Rattus norvegicus: one gene and its partner. The protein of the gene in region 1 interacts with the protein of each later gene in a biochemical or structural test. Links are inferred from orthologs where the notes say so. Each region holds a gene or a part of one and is shown in the gene's direction. Other genes may lie near its edges.

Region 1 (3,567 bases):
CTGTGGGTAAACTGAAGCATTGGGGTTTTATAAAGGTTGTGTGTAATTCTTGGCCTCTATGGGGGCTGTCCCTGACCTCTTTCTCTTGTTATTTTAATTTTACAACTTCTTTGTTTGTTTGTTTGTTTGTTTGTTTACTAAGACAAGGTCTCTGTGTAGTAATGGCTGCCCTGGAGCTGGCTATGTAGACCTGGCTGATGTCTGATTCACAGAGATTCTCTTGCATCTGCCTTTTGAGCACTGGGATTAAAGGCCAGGGCCAGCACCGGCTGCAACCTATGCCATATTCTGACTATAATAAACTGTATTGATGAGGAACTTAAGGGAAGAATACTTTTCATTTTCTGAGGACTTGTTTTTTGTTTTGGGGTTTGTTTGTTTGTATGAGATGGGGTCTCAAACAATGCATGAACCTTGGCTGGCCTGAAACTCACTGTGTAGACCTTGCTGGTCTCACTCTGTCTGTGCCCTTTTTAAATTTCATTTATATATTTTAGTACATTTTATTATTTCGCATGTGTTAAGCATGTGTGGACTGCACATGGGTGGATGGTAGAGAACAACTTGAAAAAGACAGTAGCCTTCTTCTACCAGGTTGGTCTTGGAATTGAAGTTGGAACTTTGGGCTTGGTGGTATCACCTTTTTTTAACCCTTTGTGTTCTGACTTTTGTCATTTGGTTCATTTCTAGTTAAAGTAGCAAATAATAATCAAAGACTTTTAACTATGTATTGTGAAAGATAGTAAACATTTCTTCAACTTAAGGTCTTGTTCTTTTAAAGGCAGTAATCTGGCTTTGATTTGAGTCCCCGGCCACTTCAGAGGGCTTCGTGTCTAGGTTCTGGAGCTGCTGACCTTGAAAACAACCTCCAGACACCCTTTACATCATAATGTTTGTCTGGGGCCTTTGATAGCATTCTCAGCAATACTGGCTGCTGTCAGGTAGACAGCTGGCATGATCATAGTAGTTGTGTGTTTTCAAGGTATGGGGAGATTGCCTTTTTTTAGACCACTGCAGAAGAAATTTCTTAGTCGGTTTTATGCCTGATTTAAGATTACTACCTGTGATGATTTTAGTGTTTTCCTTGCCTCAGCTCCTTTCAGCAGCTTGAACATTCTTTTTCTATTTCCCTCCCTATGTAGCAGACTCTTTCCAGCTGCCAGAGATGATGTATGACTTAGTCACTGTGCCAGCATTCCAGCTGTGAGCAGCTGTGTTTGCATCTGGGAACCAATTCCCCTTAAATGCCCCAAAGAGGTTGTGTCTTAAAGAGCCAGTGTCTTCCCACTGATCCTTGGCTACGATTTCCTTCCTTTTGGGGTTCTGGTATCTTTGAGGACCACCAGGACCGTGCAGACTTTTGTGTATCTATTTCAGAATCATTTGTTTGTGTGTTTTGTATTTGCTCATTGTTTTGAGGGGTATGGGTCAGGGAATATGTGGGAGTTGATACTCCCTGTGCACCCTGTGAGTCCTAGGGATCGAACTCAGGTTGTTGGGCTTGGCTACAAGCCTTTTTGCCCACTGAGCTGTCTAACTGGCCTGCTTTTGTAGCTCAAAGGCAAGTCATGATCAGAGAGGGTTGGGATTTGGTTCCTATGGTAAATCTTAAGTTTTCTTTGTGATGAGTGAGCTTGTATTATCTCTTGTAAATTTTAGAAAAAAATATGTATAAAATTAGACTTTTTTGTTCTGACTGTTGTCATCACACCTGGATCAGCCAGAGACTAAAGCAGGCCTTGTGCTCCTCTCATGAGGTCAGTTCAGTTGTTTGCAGTCTCAGACCAGTCCCAATTAATGTGAGTAGCGAGTCTGAGCAGGCCAGAGGCTCCTTTCTCAGGTTATATGCAAGTTAGTGTTGGTGATCTTTGAACCTCTGTTTTACAATATAAATGACTGTGAAATATTAAAACTGTTGGCCACTGTTAAGATAAATTAAAAGTCTAAAAGGCTATTGTCGAGAAAGCATCTGAAGTTGAGAGTGAAAGTGAGCTTGTTTGCTGTCTGAGAAGTCACAGTAGAGGGAGGGTCTGCTCGCAGTGCTGAAGAGATTGAGTAGCTTAGAGGGGTGGAGTACCCAGGTGATTCTCCTGAGACTCCTGGGGTGCTAAAGACTTGTGGGGGGTCCCCCCTTAATCATTTACAAGGAATACCAGGGAAGATGACTACATCTATTGCAAAAATATCTCATAACATTGCTGCCTCTGATTTCTTGAGTTGCAAGGATTTTCTGAACTGATGACAAATGATAACAGATGATATTAACAAAGGCTATGATTTGTAGCTCAGAAAAACAGGTGTTTTGTTTTGTTTTGTTTTTCCTTGATCTCTGCAAGCTCCAATCTCTCCTATTCTATTTATAGCAAAGCAATGATATCGCTCGGGGCTTTGAGAGAGGACTGGAACCAGAAAAGATCATTGGGGCGACAGATTCCTGTGGAGACTTAATGTTCTTAATGAAATGGTAAGAGGAATTGTGCTTCACAGTTGTGTTTTTGCTATGAAGAAAGAGTGTGAAATTGAGAATTCCTAAATTTAATCCATAGTGTCAGTATTAAGTGGGAATTTATGGTTCAGAATAAATTTGTGACATTCTCAAACTTTGGTATTGTTGTGTTATAGTAATCATATTTGGATTAAAAAAAAGTATTACTACTACCTAAATTCTGTATAGAACTGAATCATTTACCGTGAGATCATTAGCCTATGACTATGGGGTAAGAGCTAAGTAAAACTTCCTACATCATTGAGGATCAGGGTCACCAAATGATGTCTAAAAGAGAAATTAATTTCAACAAAAGACATCAAACTGAATGCTAAATAAAGAAATAAAGCACAAATTACTTTATTAGAGAAAGTGACTTACAGAAGAAAGTGGAATACTTCCCCATCCTCCCTTCCTCCTTTCTTGACAAGGTCTCATGTAGCTCAAGGTGTCCTTGAACTTACTATGTAGTGCAGGACATTGAACTCATTCTCCTGTCCCCATCTCCCTAGGCCTGGAGTTACAGAGTTATAGGCATGTACTCACATATCTGACTGGCCTTTTCCTTTCTTCTCTTTCCTTTCCTCCCTTTCCTTTTTCTTTTAAGATTTATTGCCTATTTAATTTTTTTTCTACGTGTATGTGTTTTGCCTCCATATATATATGTTGTGTGTGTGTACCATGTGTGCAGCGCCTGCAGAGGCTAGAAGAGGGTGTTGGATCCCCTGGAACTGGCATTACAGGCAGTCCTGTGGTACCATGTAGGTGCTAGGAACTGAGCCCAGGTCCTCTGCAAGAACAGCCATTTCTTCAGCTCTTTATTTTTTGTTTATTTTTTGATGCTAAAGGTCAAATACAGAGACTCCACCTCTGAGCTATATCTCCAGCCCTGTAAAGAGCCTTTTCTACTTCGATATCAAACCAGCTAACCTCAGGCATTGACACTGACAGACTGTCTCAGTCTCATGTCTCCTTCTAAGTCTTGTACCCTTTCTTTCCAGGAAAGACACAGATGAAGCTGACCTGGTCCTTGCAAAAGAAGCTAATGTGAAATGTCCACAAATTGTGATAGCATTTTATGA
Region 2 (3,567 bases), on another chromosome or scaffold:
ACATTCTTGCTCTCTCAGTTGGCAGCCTTCTGCTTGGTCACGTTCACTCTTTAAAAATCTTTCCCGTGGAATGACTTTGGTGGTCCATGCAGACGTGGGTGGAGCCAGGGGACCTAGCCAAAAAGTATTTCATCTTATGTAGTATTATAGTTTTTTTACTTTCTTTTTCTTTCTTTTTTCTTTTCTAAGACTGGGTAGCCTAGGCTGGCCAAGAACTTGATAAAAATCCCCCTGTCTCCATTTGTTCAGTTCTGAGATCATAGGGTAAGCTACCACAGTTGATGGATAAATTTTTTTTTTTTTCTTTTTTTCGGAGCTGGGGACCGAACCCAGGGCCTTGCGCTTGCTAGGCAAGCGCTCTACCGCTGAGCTAAATCCCCAACCCCTGGATAAATATTTTAATCATTTGTTCTCAACCTTCCTAATGCTGTGCCCCTTTACAGTAACTCCTCATGTTGTGGTGACCCCACCATAAAATTATTTTGTTGCTACTTCATAACTCTGATTTTGCTATTATGATTCTTAATGTAAGTATTTTGGGGGATAGAAGTTTGCCAAAGGTGTTGTGACCCACAAGTTGAGAGCCCCTGTTTTAGACACTAGCTAGAGCGAAGTAAAAAGAATGCTTTTTTTTTTTTTTTTTGGTTCTTTTTTTTCCGGAGCTGGGGACCGAACCCAGGGCCTTGCGCTTCCTAGGCAAGCGCTCTACCACTGAGCTAAATCCCCAACCCCAAAAAGAATGCTTTTGTATTCTACTCATTTAATGCCATCTCTTCTGGAGACAGAGCACCCGGGCTTCTAATAATCTTAAAAACTAAACGGTGAGTAATGCACTTAGACTTTGAAATGTTAAAATAGTGAGAATAACGTGCCATGTGGTAGTTTCCTCTTTCTGTTGTTACACAGTAAACCTCAAGACACATACATACCTTAGTATTAAAGTTAGTTCTGTGGTGCAACCTTGTGTTTTTCCCTCTCGGTGTTCACTGTTCTAAACGCTTTCTGCAGCATCTCGTCATCTCCTTAGACTTAGCTTGGTCAAGGTGGACAGTGCACAACAGAGGCTTGTAATACGTGTGCTGGACTGGGTGAGCATGCTTGTGCCACCATCAGTACCGTGTGGAATGCTTGCTTTCCATCTGAGGACTGTAACAGCCCCCCCCCCCCCCCCACCGGTTGTCAGAGATTGTCACCTTCTTTTTCAGACTTTGTGCTTCCTTATATGATGGACTTGCTGTTTCTTTGAGTGGCTCTCTACCACGTGGGGGAGGGGCAGATGCTGCTCACTGCTTTCCGTTTCAGCTTCCATCTTCACACTGCCCTTTTATTGATAGAAGAGCTTCGGGTGGCCTTGCCCCTGTCGTCAGAGTCTAACCTGCATGGTGTGTCCAGTTCACATTTAGGCTGCCTCAGCTGTGGACATCACGTGTGAGCTCAGTAATGCACCTCACAGTGTTGAGTGCTCTCTCCTCCTCCTCTGTCCACTCGGGAAGCATTGGCACGTAGTCAGCGTGGGTTAGAGTGAGCTGACTGCTGGCTCACTCCCTGACACTGGGTACACTCCGGCGTATAGCGGGCGCTCTGCTGCTCGCCTGACCTTGAACCCAGTGTGAGCTAATGCTGCCATTGTCGGCTGGTCTGAAGGATGGACTTCTGGAAGCTGAAGCTGGACTTTTGTTTGCTTCTTGACTCAGTAGTGCTTTAGTTGGTTGACAGTCTCTACAGAGGAGAGAAGAGACTGTTGCAGCCATCGCCTTAACAAGCTCTAGCAAGCTAAATTGATTCTCTTTTCTCAGTAAGAAACTATGAGGCTGAGCCGAGAGGGACAGCTAGGGAGGAAAATAATTAAGGGTAAACAACATGTAGCATGAAATGCAAACAGCCAGTCTTCCCACCGTGGGCTGGTTAGGGTCGCTGAAAGTCTTTTCTTCATTTTAATTTGTAGCTAGTGAACGAATTTGCCAAGTTTTACTCACCTGCCTTTCATAGAAATGTTACAGTATGACAGTGAAATTATGGAAACATTAAGTGTGAAAGTGTTTGAAAGAAGGACAGTTAATATAGAAGCCTGTTCCAAAACATAGTGTTGCATAGCTGTAATCCCAGTGCTCAGACAGGGGTTGAGACTGGAGGATTGCCACAAGTTTGAGGCACTGACCTTTTGAGGACCAGGGAGGTCTAGGTGACTTTGTCTCTTGGTTTTTAGCTTGTGTCTGCTGCTTTCCCAGTCGTACCTTGTTATCGTTGCGATGCCTTGCTGGGTCAGGTCTGATTATGTCGGTTCACATTCCATTTAGAAGCCGTTTGCAAACAGCGTCAGTGTGTACAACGGGGAGCCCGAACACATGGAAAAGAGCGCCACACCTCCTAAAAACAAGCAGGTACCCGTACCCTTTGCTTTGTGTCCTTCCGTCAGACTCCACTGGAATTTGTTGTATTTTACTTGTTCATCTTCTGTCTTTAAGACCGTATGTGATTTAACATCTATTCTTTTTTAAACTTCCTAAGATTTATTATATATAAGTACACTGTCGCTGTCTTCAGACACACAGAAGAGGGCATCAGATCCCATTACAGATAGTTGTGAGCCACCATGTGGTTGCTGGGCAAACTCAGGACCTCTGGAAGAGCAGTCAGTGCTCTTGACCACTGAGCCATCTCCCCAGCCTTTAACATTTATTCTTATACATTCTCAGCTCTGTAGAGATGTTGAGTTAGTAGCCTTTGCACTAAATATAGATATTGAATACTGTTTTTTTTTTTAAACTAGGAAAGAGTCATTTTGTCAACAGAAGACAGTTATATAGCTACACAGTACAGCCTTCGCCCCAGAAGAGAAGAGGTCAAAACCAAAAACATAGAGTCCGAGGAACAAAACCTTGTCACCAGAGGACCTGTACCTTTGGGAACCTTTCAAGTGACCACTCCACAGAGGAGGGACTTGGAGTTCGGAGGAGTACCTGGTAGGTGTGAAGGCTCGTTAGGGAGGAGGAGGGTGGCAGAAGCTCTTAGGTGCCCGGGAAAGGCCTTTCTGCAACAGGAAGGGGTTGAGGAGGTGGAGGACTAGGGGAGAACTTTCCAGAAGGAACAGTGGTATGAAGGCCTGAGCTGGGAGCTATGGCGGGATGTGTGTGTGTGTGTGTGTGTGTGTGTGTGTGTATATGTGTGTATGTATATGTGTGTATGTATATGTGTATGTGTATATGTGTATATCTGTATGTGTATGTATGTGTGTATGTGTGTGTATGTATGTGTGTATGTGTGTATATGTGTGTGTGTATATGTGTGTGTATGTATATATATATGTGTGTATGTATGTGTGTGTGTATGTGTGTGTGTGTATGAATGTGTGTGTGTGTGTGTGTATGTATATGTGTGTGTATGTATGTGTGTGTGTGTACAGGATGTGACTGGGAGTGGTACATGGGACACATGGAGGGACAGGTGGGATGATGGGACAAGCCACAATAAGGGGGGTTTACCCTGAGGAAGGGTACAGGACAGCAGTGGTGGTCCTGTAGGGACAGGGAGCTTGCTTGCTAGCGAAGAGTAGAGAAGGCAGGCCCT

Evidence for each region. The genes of interacting proteins can lie anywhere in the genome.
Region 2: the proteins of Cbx5 (region 1) and Lbr form a complex in vitro, tested with the Homo sapiens proteins (2 studies listed by BioGRID, with this or other methods). The link is inferred for Rattus norvegicus from reciprocal best matches to the Homo sapiens genes CBX5 and LBR.

What each region holds. Positions count from the first base shown.
Region 1 is NC_086025.1:136,212,115-136,215,681, reverse strand, and holds part of Cbx5 (chromobox protein homolog 5), read left to right. Parts: intron 1-2,363; coding exon 2,364-2,464; coding exon of another isoform or gene 2,465-2,468; exon of another isoform or gene 2,469-2,470; intron 2,471-3,486; coding exon 3,487-3,567. UniProt on the Homo sapiens protein: Component of heterochromatin that recognizes and binds histone H3 tails methylated at 'Lys-9' (H3K9me), leading to epigenetic repression. In contrast, it is excluded from chromatin when 'Tyr-41' of histone H3 is phosphorylated (H3Y41ph).
Region 2 is NC_086031.1:96,085,691-96,089,257, reverse strand, and holds part of Lbr (delta(14)-sterol reductase LBR), read left to right. Parts: intron 1-2,297; coding exon 2,298-2,381; intron 2,382-2,770; coding exon 2,771-2,963; intron 2,964-3,567. UniProt on the Homo sapiens protein: Catalyzes the reduction of the C14-unsaturated bond of lanosterol, as part of the metabolic pathway leading to cholesterol biosynthesis.